4 linked regions of the Arabidopsis thaliana genome follow. The protein of the gene in region 2 interacts with the protein of the main gene of each other region in a pairwise test. Each region holds a gene or a part of one and is shown on either strand. Other genes may lie near its edges. The genes, in order: UBC28, MUB4, UBC10 and UBC9.

The links.
Region 1: the proteins of MUB4 (region 2) and UBC28 interact in a two-hybrid assay, tested with the Arabidopsis thaliana proteins (one study listed by BioGRID).
Region 3: the proteins of MUB4 (region 2) and UBC10 interact in a two-hybrid assay, tested with the Arabidopsis thaliana proteins (one study listed by BioGRID).
Region 4: the proteins of MUB4 (region 2) and UBC9 interact in a two-hybrid assay, tested with the Arabidopsis thaliana proteins (one study listed by BioGRID).

Annotation. Positions count from the first base shown.
Region 1 is NC_003070.9:23,831,729-23,836,038, forward strand, and holds UBC28 (ubiquitin-conjugating enzyme 28), read left to right. Parts: upstream 1-1,822; 5' UTR 1,823-1,943; intron 1,944-2,021; 5' UTR 2,022-2,063; coding exon 2,064-2,133; intron 2,134-2,748; coding exon 2,749-2,874; intron 2,875-2,963; coding exon 2,964-3,091; intron 3,092-3,157; coding exon 3,158-3,262; intron 3,263-3,348; coding exon 3,349-3,492; 3' UTR 3,493-3,808; downstream 3,809-4,310. Other genes in the region: AT1G64210 (Leucine-rich repeat protein kinase family protein), read left to right, coding at 1-481, 549-1,135; TOM7-2 (translocase of outer membrane 7 kDa subunit 2), read right to left, coding at 1,360-1,593. UniProt on the Arabidopsis thaliana protein: Accepts the ubiquitin from the E1 complex and catalyzes its covalent attachment to other proteins.
Region 2 is NC_003074.8:9,945,255-9,950,132, reverse strand, and holds MUB4 (membrane-anchored ubiquitin-fold protein 4 precursor), read left to right. Parts: upstream 1-2,048; 5' UTR 2,049-2,339; intron 2,340-2,614; 5' UTR 2,615-2,688; coding exon 2,689-2,818; intron 2,819-3,350; coding exon 3,351-3,521; intron 3,522-3,604; coding exon 3,605-3,666; 3' UTR 3,667-4,377; downstream 4,378-4,878. Other genes in the region: AT3G26990 (ENTH/VHS family protein), read left to right, coding at 441-580, 666-701, 955-1,707; AT3G26960 (Pollen Ole e 1 allergen and extensin family protein), read left to right, coding at 4,674-4,857. UniProt on the Arabidopsis thaliana protein: May serve as docking site to facilitate the association of other proteins to the plasma membrane.
Region 3 is NC_003076.8:21,631,477-21,635,942, forward strand, and holds UBC10 (ubiquitin-conjugating enzyme 10), read right to left. Parts: upstream 2,772-4,466; 5' UTR 2,623-2,771; intron 2,551-2,622; exon of another isoform or gene 2,524-2,550; 5' UTR 2,514-2,523; coding exon 2,444-2,513; intron 2,087-2,443; coding exon 1,959-2,086; intron 1,843-1,958; coding exon 1,738-1,842; coding exon of another isoform or gene 1,711-1,737; exon of another isoform or gene 1,470-1,710; coding exon 1,326-1,469; 3' UTR 1,091-1,325; exon of another isoform or gene 972-1,090; intron 571-971; 3' UTR 545-570; downstream 1-544. Other genes in the region: AT5G53310 (myosin heavy chain-like protein), read left to right, coding at 3,181-3,403, 3,616-3,934, 4,439-4,466. UniProt on the Arabidopsis thaliana protein: Accepts the ubiquitin from the E1 complex and catalyzes its covalent attachment to other proteins. Mediates the selective degradation of short-lived and abnormal proteins.
Region 4 is NC_003075.7:13,914,986-13,919,136, reverse strand, and holds UBC9 (ubiquitin conjugating enzyme 9), read left to right. Parts: upstream 1-1,636; 5' UTR 1,637-1,843; coding exon 1,844-2,003; intron 2,004-2,436; coding exon 2,437-2,564; intron 2,565-2,730; coding exon 2,731-2,835; intron 2,836-2,928; coding exon 2,929-3,072; 3' UTR 3,073-3,606; downstream 3,607-4,151. Other genes in the region: SLAH2 (SLAC1 homologue 2), read left to right, coding at 1-243, 344-375, 463-847. UniProt on the Arabidopsis thaliana protein: Accepts the ubiquitin-like protein SUMO/SMT3 from the E1 complex and catalyzes its covalent attachment to other proteins. Mediates the selective degradation of short-lived and abnormal proteins.

The sequences.
Region 1 (4,310 bases), on a different chromosome or scaffold from region 2:
TTCTTGCTGATTCTGTCTGCAGCTTGCGTTTTGTGTGTTTCCGGATTATCATTCATAATGATCACTTGTTTCGGGAAGACTAGAATCTCCGGGAAGTTGCGAAAGAGAGACTCGTCTTCTCCTCCAGGAAACTGGACATCTAGAGATGATAACACTGAAGAAGGCGGGAAGATCATCTTCTTTGGTGGAAGAAACCACTTATTTGATTTAGATGATTTGCTAAGCTCATCTGCAGAAGTTTTGGGGAAGGGTGCTTTTGGTACAACCTATAAGGTAACAATGGAGGACATGAGCACGGTCGTTGTAAAACGATTGAAGGAAGTTGTCGTTGGAAGACGAGAGTTTGAGCAACAAATGGAGATCATTGGTATGATCAGACATGAAAATGTAGCTGAGCTAAAGGCTTACTACTACTCCAAAGACGATAAGCTCGCGGTTTATAGCTATTACAATCATGGAAGCCTCTTCGAAATACTGCACGGTTAGTTATTTTCATTGCTCTCATTCTGATGATAAATCGAAACTACAAGGTTCCATTTTCTTTGCAGGAAACAGAGGAAGGTATCATCGAGTACCGTTAGATTGGGATGCTAGACTGCGAATAGCAACCGGTGCAGCGAGAGGGCTAGCTAAAATCCACGAAGGGAAGTTCATACATGGAAACATCAAATCCTCAAACATCTTCTTAGACTCACAATGCTATGGCTGCATAGGCGATGTTGGCTTGACGACAATCATGAGATCACTTCCTCAAACCACTTGCCTTACTTCTGGCTACCATGCACCTGAAATAACAGACACAAGAAGAAGCACACAGTTTTCGGATGTATACAGCTTCGGTGTGGTATTACTGGAGCTCTTGACAGGGAAATCACCAGTGAGTCAAGCAGAATTAGTACCAACAGGAGGTGAGAACATGGACTTAGCTAGCTGGATAAGATCTGTGGTGGCTAAAGAGTGGACTGGAGAAGTGTTTGATATGGAGATATTGAGTCAATCAGGTGGTTTCGAGGAGGAGATGGTTGAGATGTTGCAAATAGGATTGGCTTGTGTTGCTCTGAAGCAACAAGAAAGACCTCATATAGCTCAAGTTTTGAAATTGATTGAAGATATTCGATCAGTTGATGCAGAGTGAGACAACACAAACTAGTAGTAGTAACCATTAAAGCAAATTCTTTGTTTCTTCATAGATCATTTGATTTTATTGAATTTGAATCATGCAAAAAAGAATGAGACTTTGAATTATAGAATCAGAAACAAATATAAATCCATTTCATAAAACGAAGAAAACAGAACAAATTTGGGAAAAAAAGTAAAAGCATCTAAGAAGAACATTACGAAGAAGATCCAATTTGTGGATTAAACGGGAGAGAGGAGGTGAAAAAGATGAGGTTTAGGATCTGAGTTCATGCCGATGATGATGATCAGAGGGATGAAACCATAGTGAGTCGCGACTTTGGCTTTCTGTAATGACCAGTTGGTCCAATCCTTGAAGACCTTGTACTTTGATGATGCAGAGGAGGACGAAGATGATGATGATCCCTTTGATGGTTTTGCTTTGCCTTTGATCTTCAACGTACTTTTAGCCGCCATTGATTCTGATCTCAGAACTCTCTCTCTCTCTCTCTGCTTATCTCTGTGTCAGAGTCGATTTAGCTGGAAGACAAAAACCCTAAAGGGTTTAAGCACCTTTTTAAAGCCTCTATGAAACACTCTGTCTAACTCAGAGGGTCCTTTATTTTTTATTAAAAGTATGTTTATCCAATAATGATTCTCTGGCTCGCTGGAAAATAGCTGTCATTATTTATATTTGAAGCATACATAAATAAAATTTCTCTCTCTTTGTTTATTCGTTAGGTCTCAAAGGCTCTCTCTGTCTCTTTCTCAAAAATCATCTGCAGGAAGTGAATCGTCAAAACCGAGTTTGGAGGATCTGTCTTGAGGTAAAAAAGCTCAATCCTTTATCGGAAATTTTCAACCTTTGCTTTTCCTTTGTTTGTTGCGTTGCTGAATCTATCTAGGGTTTGGTTTTTTGGATCTAGGAGTTTTTTTTTGGTTGAGAAATGGCTTCGAAAAGGATCTTGAAAGAGCTCAAGGATCTCCAGAAGGATCCTCCAACTTCCTGCAGTGCTGGTTAGTCTTTACCTCTCCTCTCGTAAATCGTGTCTGATCTATTTTTGAGCTTTGTTGTTAGATCTTATAATCTTATCTTTAAGCAAACAAAAAAATGAAATCTTTTTTAGTCTTCGTAATTTTATAACGAAGTTATCTAGAGATCTTGAGGTGGTAATTGCCGCTAAGTTATGATCTTAGTTTAGAAGATACCAATTGAAAGTTGAGATTTTTCTTAGAACAGAACAAATTTATGGCTGTACTGATCCTTGATTGAAAATTACAGCTTTCTAATAATCATAGTCTAGAAGATAGCTGTTAAAAATTGGGATCCATTTACCCATCCTGGATACTATTGATCATAATTAATAAGATAACAGTTGGAAGTTGAGATTTTTCTTAGAACAAAGTTGAGATTGGTCGTTGCAGTTATCTTATGATCATAGTCTAGGAAATAGCTATTGAAAGTTGTGAATTTTCTTAGAATTAAGCTTTTGGTGTTGTATGCTGCCTTGTTTATCCAAGTATCCATAACGGATCTTACAGACTTGATACCTCGCACTGATAGTCTTTCTTAGTTATCTATTGCATTCAGGTTTATACATGTTTGTTTTGTTTATTAAAATATATGATAAGTGGATAATGCGTCGAAATTGTTGGTCTTAATAGAGTTAGAGGATTGTTGTCGGAGATTCTCAAACTGTTCATGCATTCTTCTGCTAGAGAAGTCTCAGGACATTGCTATGGCACATGTTTTGTTGTGTGTATTTCAGTAAATGCCATAGATCATCATGTTTAAAAGACTAATCTTTCTATTTTTTCCTTCTATGAACAATTGTGAAATCTTCAAGGCCCAGTTGCTGAAGACATGTTTCATTGGCAAGCTACAATAATGGGTCCATCTGATAGTCCTTATTCAGGCGGTGTCTTTCTCGTAACCATTCACTTCCCTCCGGATTATCCTTTCAAACCACCAAAGGTAAATTATTCATTGTTACCAAACTGAAATCATGAACTGGAATTCAAAATGCTCTTTTTCTTGCAGGTTGCATTCAGGACAAAAGTGTTCCACCCTAATGTCAACAGCAATGGAAGCATTTGCCTTGACATTTTGAAAGAACAATGGAGTCCTGCACTCACCATATCGAAGGTGAAAAAGCACTCTTTAACCAATAGCAGTGGATGATATATAATGAATCTCCTCTTATTTTAATCAAATCTCTTGTGAATTTATAGGTTTTGCTTTCGATATGTTCATTGTTAACGGACCCAAACCCAGATGATCCATTGGTTCCAGAGATTGCTCACATGTACAAAACCGATAGAGCAAAGTATGAGTCTACTGCGAGAAGCTGGACTCAGAAATATGCAATGGGATGAAAGTTTGTGTCCTTTGATCCCTCACAGACTCGGTTTTAATAGAGAGAGAGAGAGAAAGAGAGAGGACTTCTTCACATAGGGATCTTCCATGAAATAAGTTAGATTCCTATGTTTTATCATCTCTTTGTTTGAAACCTCTTTAATCTCAAACAAAAACATTACTTCACCTCTTTATTATCCATATGTTCCCTATCTTTGTTTCTATGCTTTTTCCAAAAAATTATAAGAAAAATTATTTATGTAAAGCTGGAAACTTTGAGCTTTTACCTAACAAAGTATGACGATGATTAAATGGGAACATTTGACATTTGCTACCAAATTTTCAAAATTCCGTGTTTGAGAAAATATTGAAATAAAACCATTTTTGCAGAAAAATAAAATAAAAATTGCATGATTTTGAAGATGTTGATTAACATATTAATTCGAAATTTACCCTTGTATGAAATGCAAAGTGATAAATTTACCCTACAGAAAATTTTCTCCACCTTTATCATTTCCCTTGCTTGTAAGGGATCAATGATTCCATATGTGCATTAATTTAAAAATACCTCAAATCAAAGAATAAAGGTACACTTTATCTACCATTGAATTAAGTTACCTCATTATGAAATGGAAAGCGAAATCAAAAGGCATATTATTACGAAACAATAAACTGTAGATTTATTGGTTAGCTAGATCATCCAACTTTTCATTCAATCTGAATTTTCATTTAATTTATGATGATTTGAATGTAAAATCTGTAAATCATGGTGTATTATTATTAACCAATGAAATATTCTAAATACTGAAAATAATTCATGTAGTGATTTAGCCAATCA
Region 2 (4,878 bases):
GAACCGAAATCTTAAAATTTGCGTAACAATCTCGTATCTGGTCTATGTGTGATCTTAAACCACTACCACGCTTCCAATTCTTACTTCCATGATGCTCCTCTCTCATTTTTCCAAATAGTTTTTGCCAAAATCATCTTTTAAACATGGTGGCTCTTACCATTTGATAGGAATATTCAGCATATCTTTGTGTCAAATCATTTAATGATAAGAGCACTTACCCCCAATCCGCAACGAGAATAACCAGTGCTACACATTTTGGTTAATTTTGGATCCCTAATTTTTGTCACTACATTTCTGATTACTGGGACTGGTCTTTATATTAACTGCTTGTAGATATATTACACTTCTTTACTTGTAGGATAGAGAAGATCCAATTCTTGTTCAAGCATCCATTTGAAGTTGTTTTCACTATCTTACTTCTTGAGCATTGCTTTAAATAGGACACGCCCCTGGGCCAGCGGTGGTGAAGGAGTTGCAGGGACAACATGTCATATTGAGAGACTGCATCGAACAGCTAGGGGCAATGGAGACATCCAGAACAAGTCTTATCTCACATTTGAGAGAAGCTTTACAAGAACAGGTTTACATTTATACATTTTCTTTCAAAACAACATCTTTCATTGCACCGGCCAGAAACCTCACCTTGTTTTTGTTTTTGTGTCCAGGAACTCAAGCTGGAGCAAGTCCGTAACCACCTTCAGGTTTGAATACTTACCAACAAATGTGATATTTGTTCCTCAGACATTTTATACATTTCAATTTACACAATACATCATAACGTTCTCAATAGTACTTTCCGAGACATGCTGGTCTAGCTTCAAGCTTGTTTAGTGAATTTGTTCAAGGAAGATAGACCCAAATCTAATTAGGGTTCTTGGTTGCCTTTCCAAACAGAATGTTGCCTTGTCTTTATGCTATTTAGTTGAATTGATTTCATTTGTGCTACGATTTCAGATTGCTCGGTTTCAATCAGACCGAACTGGTGATCTCTGCAGACAGCTTCTAGACCATGGTGGTAGTTCACAGCCTCCTGCTACAGAAGAAGAAGAGTCAAAAGAAGTTATCAAAGTTTCATCCACTGCAGCAGCACCACAAAGCTTCACACACAGCGATGTGGAACAATCTGCACCAGTTATGTTTGCCTCAAACCCAACTCAATCGCTGGAAGACCCAAGAAAAACTGCTGCTGCTGCAGTGGTAGCTAAGCTAACTGCTTCAACTTCCTCAGCCGAGATGCTCTCCTATGTTCTCTCCTCCTTAGCCTCCGAAGGCATCATCGGAAACAACAACCCACCTGCTGTAACAGAAACTCTATCATCCGTCGATTTCCCACCAGAGAAAAGACCTAAGCTTCAAAATCATGACCAGTCGTATCTCTCACCGCACCATCAGAACACTGCAACAACATCATCCTCCACACCCCCACAACCGCTTCCACCACCACCACCATTCCAGCTTCAACCTCAGTTTTTGCAGCCGTTACAGCCTCCCGGGCCAGTAAACCACACACCATTCAACTACACCATAGCAACCTCTACTGCAACCACTCAGCAACAACAACAAGAACAAGGTCCTTGGGTACCTGGGCTCACTCAACTTTCAACAACCTCTGCTCCATCGGAGAATTCATACCAGAAGTTTCAGGGACAAGATGGTTTCTATGGCATTAACTCATCTGTGCCTATTACACCTGTCACTCGCCAGTAGTGTAAATCTGTTCGTAGGGGTTCATATAGCAAAAAGTTCACTTTTTTTTTTGGTTTTTTTTTGTTAAATATAGTTTCAATGGGCTTTTGATAATTAGGATTTTATGTTCTTAAAATGTGCTTTGTATGCTTTCTAATTGTGCGTCTAATCCAAGGTTTCAACTCTGTAAACATATCATAAAAATCCTTTGTTTTGCTCTGAGATTTTACTATTGTTGGAAGATTCTATAGATTTTCAAATTTTCTTGTTCCTCTCTTTGAAATTTACATGGAAGTCAGATTTGGACCAAAGTGATTTGTTGCTCGTCTTTTAAAGTCTTCTGGTCAAAACGCCGACAAGGCTTTGCTTTTGACTAATAAAGAAACATACTTTTCCACAATTTTCTTGTCTTTTTATCTTATTTCCTTACTCGTCAGGGATTCCCTGTAACGCGGCAATCCTGACGAAAGACATATCAGAAACTTTGATAGAATCACATAGCAGCAATCTCTTAGCTGGATTTTACCAGCTTCACTTTGAGATTAGGTCATTTACCCTTTTAAGGGTTTCTCTCCTACTTTCTTGATTCTCTTCATTCCCAAGACTCAAAACCTAGCAAACTTGGACATTTGGATTGAGTGTCTCTAGTCCGGGTAAGATTTGTGTGTTGTGGTAACTTTATCTGACGGTTTAGGAGCTTAGGTTGCTTAGATGAGTTCCAAGTTTTTATTTTTCTTTTGCTTATTGTTCTTCTTGTTCCTTTGGTCCAAGTTCTTGATTTGGACAGTAACTGAAAATTTCCTAATTGATTCCTTTAAGTTTGACTGTGCTCTTATTACTAGTCTTCTCTAAATATTTTTGTTCTTTGCTTCGACAATTTCATTGATGCTTTGAATTTGAGAATCTCTCTGTCCTCTTATTATTATAGGTCTCATTTGGGTGGATTCTTTCTGGTGAAATCTTTCTTGTGAGAGTTTTGTATTGGGAGAAAGAGATAATCAAATGCCGGAGGAAGATTTGGTAGAACTGAAATTCCGGTTATATGACGGTTCAGATGTTGGCCCGTTTCAGTACTCTCCAACCGCCACAGTGTCAATGCTTAAGGAGAGAATTGTCTCTGAATGGCCTAAAGGTTAGCACCGAGCACAATCTTTTGGTTTGTTTTTCGGCTAATCCGTGAAAAAGAAGTAAAAATGCGATAGAAGTGCTCTTTAATGCTTTAGATTTGGCTTTAGAACGTTTGCTTCAGCCATTTTTTTTTTTCTTCAGTTTCTTCACTTGTGGCTTGATAGACAAAGTTCAGACATAAGTCATAGGATCTGATTGACTTACTAATCATTTGTCTTAAAGTAGGAACAGAAGAAGGAAGTTAAACTATTGATCTTTTAAAAGGTTACTCGATCTTGTGATCTATGTTTTAACAGTTTCTCCACTTGTGGTATAGGCTTTTGAATTGGTCTGATTGTATTACTAATCACTTGTCTTATACTACAAATCATGTCTTTAGAGACTATAGGGACGAATACTGTTCTGGTTCTTTTTAGTAGAATTTCTTGATCTTACTCTTCAGTCTTGTGCATTCAACAAAAAATTGAATTTGTCTCATTTTGTTTCCTATTGTATCTTATTGACTAATCGAATTTGGGGGTTTTGAATGTGTGTAGACAAGAAGATTGTTCCAAAATCAGCTAGTGACATCAAGTTGATAAATGCTGGTAAGATTTTGGAGAATGGTAAAACTGTTGCACAGTGTAAAGCTCCATTTGATGATCTCCCTAAATCCGTCATTACAATGCATGTTGTCGTGCAACTGTCTCCAACAAAAGCAAGACCAGGTCTTGTTCTTTCTTATCTCCGTAAATCTTGTTTGTGGAATGAATTCTTTAGCCTAATATCTTGTTTTTTCTTTCTCTTACAGAGAAAAAAATCGAAAAGGAAGAAGCCCCACAGAGAAGCTTTTGCTCATGTACCATAATGTGAGAACAACAACAAGTCCCAAGTCAAAAAATCTGAAAGAGTTAAGTTTTGATTCTCTGTGGTATTTGCTAAAAGACCATATAAACATAAACTACCGCTTCATATTCGACATTTTCTTCACAAGTTCAAAGAAACCTTCATCTATGGCGTTATAAAGCTAGTCTATTAGAGTTGTTTCTCTTGAGCTGTGATGGAAAAACTCTTGTTTGGAGCATCCTTTATAAAGATAAGAGTTTTGTTACCGCGAACTAATTCAAGTATCTCTGTAACATATCTTGTATGGTTTTGTCAATCTTTAGTACATTTTAGACCTGGTTTTTTTCTCTATCAGGATCCGCCCAAAACTGTATCCAAACATCTTTATCCAGTCCATTACCTACAGTGAAAACGAGTACTAAACGTTTGCAGTTTGGTTCTTGAGTGGCAAACACTTTGATATGTTACTATATGGTCCATACCTTTCTCATCATTTTCCACTTCCACAAAGCCAATGTTTTGGGGATGTAGGTAGATACAAACCTCCAAAAGAAACAGAGAGCATGAGATCTCAATAAATGTCCTTTCACCTAACTTATCACTGTCTCCCACTTAATTCTCTCATTTATAACCTTCACTTTCACTTAGTGTCTCTCCACTATCTTGTCTTGTTTCGCCTTTAATTCTATTCCTCTCCTCTGGCTCTCATTTATAATCTTCACTCCAAATGCACCTTTCTTTGTACTCCCATCACTTTCTCTTCGATATGGTATTTACTTTAATCCGATTCGAATATTGTAACTATGAAAAACAAAATGAATAGTAAAAATATCCGTTTCGTATCCAAGCCTATTTTTAAAAGACACGTTTGTATAACTCTCTCTATATATAGAAAGGAACCACGAAGCTCTTTCAAGAGAGTTCTATTCTTGTCTGAAAACTAGTTCCCTATATTTCTTCTTTCTTCACACACATATTCTCCAATTCTTACATAAATATCAAATAAACCAAACTTGAAACTTGTTGTGCTTAAGATGACGAAGAAATCACTGACAATGTTTCTTTTTATACTTCTGCAATTTCTGCTCGTAAACTCTCTATCTTCAAAGCATTCATCACCCAAACCAAAACCAGATGCAGAAATCACTATAATGGGTTTTGTTTACTGCGATGTTTGCTCCAAAAACAGTTTCTCTAAACACAGTTACTTCATGTCCGGTAGTAACTCAGAACAAAAAG
Region 3 (4,466 bases), on a different chromosome or scaffold from region 2:
TTGGAATATGGAACACCTATCTTAACTAAACCAAAAAACATGGAACACTGATTTTTATTTTATTTCTTTCAGTCGACACCAATTGTTTGAATTTTGCGTTTGAATGTCTAGAGTTCTTAGCCTACAAGTTTCATGGATATCTAAATCAAACCTATAGTCCCTATGATTTCTTATTTTGTTAAACTTAAAGCAGATGTTTAATTTGGTCTTTTGCTCTTAACTAGAGTAAGTTTTGCCTGTTGGTTATCATTTCTAAGTTCAAACTGATACTCTTCTAATACACTGATCCGTGGGATAATGATAAATTTTGAAAAAAAGATAGTAACATACTGTATTTTCTTATAGAGAAGAGAAATTCAAAAATATTCTAATAGCACAACACTATTAAATGTATTTTTCTCTTACCTGTGGACTTGTAAAGATAATTTGTTAGGGGTGATACTTTAAGCTCGGACGAGCGATGGATCTTTGGTCCATCGAAGCCCATCTACATAACTTGAGTTCAGTCCATACCCATTCATCTATAGATTATCTGTAGTATTAGATTCTATACCACTCTTTTTTTTTTTTCTGTTGATTCTATACCACTCACATTCCACATAATCAGGCTATTTATTATTTTATTAAATACTGTATTGTCAAATAATTTGACTTCACCAAATAACATGTTTTCGTCAAACTCATGATATGATGGATGATACGAATAAGAAAACTGTTATAACTTATAAACAAAATAGGGTGTTTAGTGGTTTTGTACTAGTGAATCATTGCTGAGTTACTACTTGAGTTCAAACATGCATAATACATGTCGTTTAATGGATATAGGATTGTTTGTGATATTATTGCATACTTAAAATGTTTGTTGCATCACGTATGTAGTCCACAATCCACAGGCGCACCTTGCAAGGTACAAAACTCATTTTCTACAACATACGTGCTACAACAGAACGCATTGTCACCATGACGGGCATTGGCCACAACGATTAACTCAGAGTAAATTTGAAGACCAGTTGGATAAGTTTGAAGACCAGTTGGATAAGTTTGAAGACTAGTTTGATAAATTTGAACAACTCGTAGCAACTCATCACACAACGAAAACATCAAATCATAATTTCACCACAAGAAGAAACAACAGAAGATGATCAGATTCTAGTTTTCACAAAGATGATGTTTTTTTTTGTTTCGTTTAAAACAAGACCCACTTCATTTGGTCCTGTCTTCAGAAAGTTAAAAGGACACAAAGAGATGTCTATCGAATCATACATAGAAATTAAGGCAGATTTTTTTCTTCATAAAGAGATAATTTAGTAGGTGGGATTTTCCATTTAGCCCATGGCATACTTCTGAGTCCAGCTTCGTGCAGTGGACTCGTACTTGTTCTTGTCAGTCTTGTACATGTGAGCTATCTCGGGCACCAAAGGATCATCCGGGTTTGGATCGGTTAACAAAGAACAGATCGATAGCAGCACCTGTTAATTGCAAAGCAGTTGTTAGAACTGATCGATAACAAACAACAATTTTTCATCCTCAATGAGTCTAATAAGCTTAATGTTTCAGAGACAACCGAAATGAGTCAAAGTTTAATGAAGACAGCTCAATCTTATCACTTCAACTAGGGATTAAGGAGCAAAAGCATGTTTGATAAGAGTAGATTACTGCCTCTGAAGCAGTTTTAATAGAGAGTATTTGTTTTAAGGTGGGTTTCTATTGTTAACAAAAGAATAAGAGAAACCGAACCTTGGAAATGGTGAGCGCAGGACTCCACTGCTCCTTCAAGATGTCGAGGCAAATGCTACCGTTGCTGTTAATGTTGGGATGGAACACCTTGGTCCTAAAGGCCACCTAGATATCATCACACACACCATAATGAAGAACAATGAGATAATGAAGCAACCATAAAGAACATACGAGCTTTGGCAAAACATACTTGATAACAATTCTCAAAATATTGGAATCACCTTAGGAGGCTTGAATGGGTAATCCGGAGGGAAATGGATGGTTACAAGGAAAACACCTCCAGCATAAGGACTCTCTGAAGGACCCATTATCGTTGCCTGCCAGTGAAACATGTCTTCAGCAACAGGACCTGTACACAGAAAGATAAACTCAATCTCACACCACATAAGCACAAGGAAACAAAGAGACAGTTTTTTCTTCACAAGTATAACCAGACCCCAGAAACTAAGACAATGAAACGAGTTTTAAGCCTTTATAAGATCTTCACCAGAGAAATCAGAAACGAGATAAACCAAATTTAGTTCTAGCCAGATCTTAAAAAGTAAAACGAGTACTTAGCTCGAGATCGGTACCAAACAACACATAAACACACAAATCCAAACAAATCCAAGCATAAGCGAACAAAAAAACCGGATCTATCAACACCAGCTCAGGGAAACAAAACTTTTTAAGATGAAATCTCAAAATCCAAACACGAAACAAGTACCTGCGCTACATGATGTAGGTGGATCCTTCTGGAGATCCTTCAATTCCTTCAAGATCCGCTTCGACGCCATATCCAAAAACCTAAAAATCAAAAATCAAACAAAGATTCTAAACGAATCAGAGAAGCTATAAATCCGTGAGAAATATAAGTAATAGATCCAAAAGCTACAGAGACAATACCTTTGATTTTTCGCGTAATCGGATTGGCGAGGTTTTCGCCTTTTTCTTCTCGTATTAGAGAGAAGAAGAACCAAGACTTAGGGGAAAGGAAGAAAATAGAGATGGTGGTGGACGAAAGACGAAGAATACGAATTATTCTCTGTGCTCACGTCTACAATAAATACCGTGTGGATTATTTACTTTCTTTGACTAGTGGACTCTACTTTTAACCCTCTTATTATTCGGTGGACCTTGAAACGACGCGGCGCTTCTTAATTAAAACATCAAGTTGCATTGAAACGACATCGTCTTAAAAAGTCATCTAATCTAACGGTTGATATCCTATCCTTAAATCAAGTGGTATTGAAATCTAACGGCTGCGAGTTTATTATAAATTTCAAATCAAGTGGCATCGAAACGCGTTGCGATGAAGTCATATAATCTAACGGCTGAGATTTGTATCTTTTAATCGATCGAATCATTTGAAGCCACGTCTTCTCTCTCACTTTGGAGATTTTTCTAACGCAGAATCTGAGAATAAGCTAACCGATTCCGATTTCGAGTTCGTCGCCGGGAGGAATGAACCGGTTGAAGGAGCAAAAGGGGCCGAAGTTCGACGGCGAAGAATCACCTCCACCTGATTTTGATGAAGATCGAAGTGTGGGTGAGGTAGACGGAGGAGATCACACGCCATTCGCTGGAGGTAAAGTCAGAAGGAAAGCGTCTCGCTATAGAGAGCATCGTGGTGACTATCTTCACGTTTCTTCTCGTCCTGGATTGATGCGAATTCTGGAGAAACAAGGTTAGGTTTCTCCAAACTTTTGGTTTTTATTTGATGAATTTGAGATTGAGAGGCAATTTGTGAATCGAAGAACTTGGAGGAATAGTTGAATCAGCTGTAGAATTGTGGCATCGATTTATAGTTTCTTATGTGGTTGTTTGGATTGCTAATGATTGGATTCACCTTGAATTGCATGTGTTTGATGTTGAGAAGGTGATTCATTGTTGTTATAGGTGATACATCGATTCTTTTTGCTGATAAAGTTTTGAAGTTCACCGGCTCGGGGAAGATGAAACGGCGTATTTTTATCCTCACTGATTTTGCGATCTATCTAATTGATCCCGAGACTGAAGCTATGACCAGGAGAATTGCTTTGTCATCAGTAGAGAAGATGTGTTTAAGCAAATTGAGTGATAACTTCTTCGCTATCATTATTCCCACGGAATATGATCTCTTCATGGCCAGCACTAGGAAGACTGAGCTTGTTCAGGTCATGGTAGATGTCACTAAAAGTGCTTCTGACTATGAACTTGAAGTGCTTCTCTCTAACAGGTAACTATGACCGCAATTTTTGGTTTTTGATGTCTCCTCTTTGAATGCTAATACCATGCACATGAGAATTGTTTATTTTCATCTCATTTCCTGATATTGACACTACAGGTATTGTGTTACTGAGAACTGATGTGGGTCTTTTTAGTCTCTGAAACTTAGTGAGCTCTGTTTCTTAAGTGACTTGGCTATTAGTTAGTGGTGAGACCAGAGGATCCACTTGTACCTATTAATCATATCTATATTTATGGAAGAAGATAAAGAATTAACACTTTTAGGAGATAACTACTGAAATTAGTACGTTGAGATACAAATGGTTACAACTATATTTTAAATACTGTTAGATGACATATTCTAGTTTTGATTGAAACTGTTCTCAAATGGCAATCACGATAATAGTCCGTAGAAACATTTTGTATATCTCCCATATCGTAAAACTCAGCTATTGGTTTATATGTGCAGTTTGTGTTTTATACTGATAATGGTTTCTCCTTGTGTTCATTCCAGATTTGAGTACAATGCATCTGCCTCATTA
Region 4 (4,151 bases), on a different chromosome or scaffold from region 2:
GGGTTGAAAGAAGGACCAATATTCTTCTTTGCCATAGGGTTGGCTTATTATTTGGTTTTATTTGTGACTCTCTATCAGAGACTTCCCACGAATGAAACCTTACCTAAAGAGCTTCACCCTGTTTTCTTCCTCTTTGTGGCTGCACCAGCCGTCGCTTCCATGGCCTGGACCAAGATCTCTGCCTCTTTCGATCTCGGTTCGCGTCTAGCATACTTCATCTCCTTGTTCTTGTACTTCTCTCTGGTAGTTTTTGTTTTCATTAACAGAGTTCTAGTGAGCTAGTGCTGAGTTTCTTGTGGTACAAGAAATGTAACAGCTTTACTTCTTGTGATTCTTGTTTCAGGTTTGTCGGATTAACCTTTTCCGGGGATTCAAGTAAGCTGTTTCTTGAACTGCAAGGATCTAATTTACCAAACCAAATAACATACATGTTATCTGACATAATTATTCAAAAAATATCAGATTCTCGCTAGCTTGGTGGGCTTACACGTTTCCAATGACGGCAGTGGCCAGTGCGACGATCAAATATTCAGACGAAGTCACGGGAGTGGCAACGAAGATACTATCGGTTGTGATGTCGGGAGCAGCAACTCTGACGGTGATAGCTGTGCTTGGGTTGACGGTGATGCATGCTTTTGTCCAACGTGATCTCTTCCCCAATGACGTTGTCATTGCCATAAGTGCAGAACAACCGAAGCAGAAGAGATGGTTCAAACATCTCACAAAAGAAAGTTATGGAAATAATGAGAGATGTCCCAAGATTTTGGATCCGGAAGATAATCAAATAGATTTAGAATCTCCTCCTTTAGTAAATGTAGATAGTTCCACGGTTCAGAATTCAAATTAACAAAAAAAAAAAATGTGATGAAAATTCATGATCTTTGTTAATTAACTTCTCATGTACAACACTATAGCAGTGCTAATAATAATAAATTAGCGAAAATCTTAATTATTTTGGTAAATTTTAGTTGCATACCATTCTTTTTACTGATCATGATAAATTACTTCTTCATTTCAGCAAAAATATAAAAACTATAATCACTTTGGCTTATTCTTTCGTTAGATTTAGTTATTATAGTATTGTTTGATTCAATTCAAGTAAAAACTATTTGAGTTATAGGCAAACTTAGTCACACCAACCGCAACCTTCACAATTTGTCTTAACAAGTTAGATCATATTTCGTGGAAATAATGTCTAGCTTAACATCTAATTTGTCGAATATATCTTAATGTCACTGTTATGTTAATTCATCCTCCATCTTTATACTTTGTCACCAAAACGAATCGTCTTGTCACATATGACATATGACAGTAAAAACAATGTAATAATTTCCTACACATCACGTTTTTGAAAAAAAACATCCTTCATCAACCGCTGGTCAATCTTGAAAGCATGGTAAATTCATTCAAATTACGTCAAATGATTCGTTCTACAAAACTCTCAGCCGTCGGATCATACGACTTTTGACTAAACCACTTAAACGACGACGCTTCGACGGGATTGGAAAACATCGGCGCCACATGATGATGATACGAACAACCGCGTTATTTTATATGTGCCGTAGGTACAACGCTGAGTTAGGCCCACCCAAAAAAAAGTTTGACATTATTTAAAACGAACGAATCTGAAAGAATAAAGCAGCAGAGTCCACTAATCAAACGAACCAGAATTTACCCGCACCCTATTTATTGTGGTCGCGACCACACAACATTTTCAACTTCTTCTTCTCTTCCGTTTCACCACCCTTTCTTCTCCTAAATTCGAAGAACCAAAACCAAAAACGTGAATTCGGAGTTATGATTTTGGATCTTCTTCCCGTCTTTATATATAATTTTCTGGGTTATGTTTTTCTTCTTCTTAATTCATCTGACCATTGGATTGGTTTTCGATTGCAGAGTCTTCAATTGGAATTTGGATCGTGGGATTTTGGAAATGGCATCGAAACGGATTTTGAAGGAATTGAAGGATCTGCAGAAGGATCCTCCTACTTCATGTAGCGCAGGTACCTATTCTTTTAGTCGATTTATCAACTTTGATTCAATAATTATGTTCCTCTTGCTGGATAATGATGGGTCGTTGGTTTTGATCTTCTTTTGAGCTGGTTTTTTATGTGTGCGACGGTTTGATATTGATCTCTCGTTAGCTTAGATCTAATTATCCTTGATTTTTAGGTAATTCAGCTGCTAATAACAGAAATTTGCATACTTCATGGTAACACTTGTTTGTGATTTTTCTAGGAATGAATCATAAAGGTCAATGTTCAAACTTGTTTGCTCGTTGATAGATCTGGTTTCATTTTTTGATTTCCTTGGATGAGATCTTAGGATTATAACTCTGTTGTTCTCTTCTAATTTTGCCCCTTTTACCAACTTCTTCTTATATGCATGTTGTTGCTTTTCTGGTTTGGTATTGAAGTTTTGGTTAAATGTTGACAGGACCCGTTGCGGAAGACATGTTTCATTGGCAGGCCACTATAATGGGTCCATCGGATAGCCCTTATTCTGGAGGAGTTTTTCTTGTAACCATCCATTTCCCTCCAGATTACCCATTTAAGCCTCCTAAGGTATATTCAAATCTCTACAGCTGCTTCTTCTTCTTTGAATTTTTTTTCCAACTTTACTTCGGCCATCATTTTTCTGTTGCTAATATCTTCCATCGTTTATCTATTGTTCTTTTCTCTGTGTTCTTGATTTCATTGCTCTCTATGTATGTTGTTACAAAAAATGTAGGTGGCTTTTAGGACGAAGGTGTTCCATCCAAACATTAACAGCAATGGAAGCATCTGCCTCGACATCTTGAAGGAGCAGTGGAGTCCTGCTCTCACAATTTCCAAGGTTTTCTTTTGTTCTTCCTCATCTTTATCATATTAGAACCATAATTTTGCAGCTTTGCTCTCCAGGTGACATCAATTTTGTGTGGTGCAACAGGTGCTGCTATCGATCTGTTCTTTGTTAACGGATCCAAACCCAGATGATCCTTTGGTCCCTGAGATAGCTCACATGTACAAGACAGACAAGAACAAGTACGAGTCCACTGCTCGGACCTGGACCCAAAAGTATGCCATGGGCTGACACAAATACTGTCCTTAAGGAAGAGCCCTAATAATTAAACTCTTCTTATTTCTATGTAATGATCTTTTATAGACTTGTCTGTCTTATAAAATTTGTGAAGACAGGATCAGTAAGAAATTATTTGATCTCCATTCTATGGAATTGTAAAACGTAAATCATCATCCCGTCTGCTGTTTCTTTATTGCGTGATGCCGATGCGTCTCTGTGTTTATCAAGGCTCATATTATTTTGGATTTTATTCTGTCCAAAGCCCAAACTAGCTACAATCGTAAGCCTTTCCGTTTTCGTAAACATTATTAACTTACATACGTAACATTTTCATTTTAGTATTATGTGGGCAATGATTTATGTAAATGGTGTATGGGGCCTAAGAGTGAAGTTGTTCATGAGTTAAGATTGTGATTGTGATCCATCTGGAACAATTTAATAAAATGGGACAAAGGAATTATCACTTTGAAGTTTGACCAATTTAAGATTTACAAAAAATAGTAAAACTATTAAAATCACCTTTTCCCCAAATAATATACTCAAACGGGTTTAGCCATTAGTGCTACTAAACATTATGGTATAAAGACCTTGAAAAAACGGTTACTTTTTTATGGTATAACCCAACTATTATGACACTTTTGTGTTCAAGGTTCTGTTTCAGTGATGGAGTATAGTATATTTTAACATAATGTTTATCCCACGAATTAGATTCCTCTTCGATGGACACATGTTGTTGTTAAGGTTGGGAGCTTATGAGGTTGGCGAGGTTTAAAGCAGTAATCAGGGCTTATTATGTTGAGATTAAGGTTATGATTTTATAATTTCACGTTAGTTTGTTGACGATTTATAAAAAAAAAATGTTATGAATGCATATTTTGCTTAATGAAAGTGCTAGTGGACGCTTGATCAATTCATGTTAATCTTTAAAACTCTTTATCTTAAGATTCAAATCAAAGTTTATTTTCTTTCTCGAAACTCCAACACTTGTATTTCTATATATTTTGAGTTTTGGGTTTACCGAGGCTTCCAAGTCCATTCGAATAAGTTTTTAAATGTGTGTTTTCACTACTCGAGCACTACTACTGATAAAA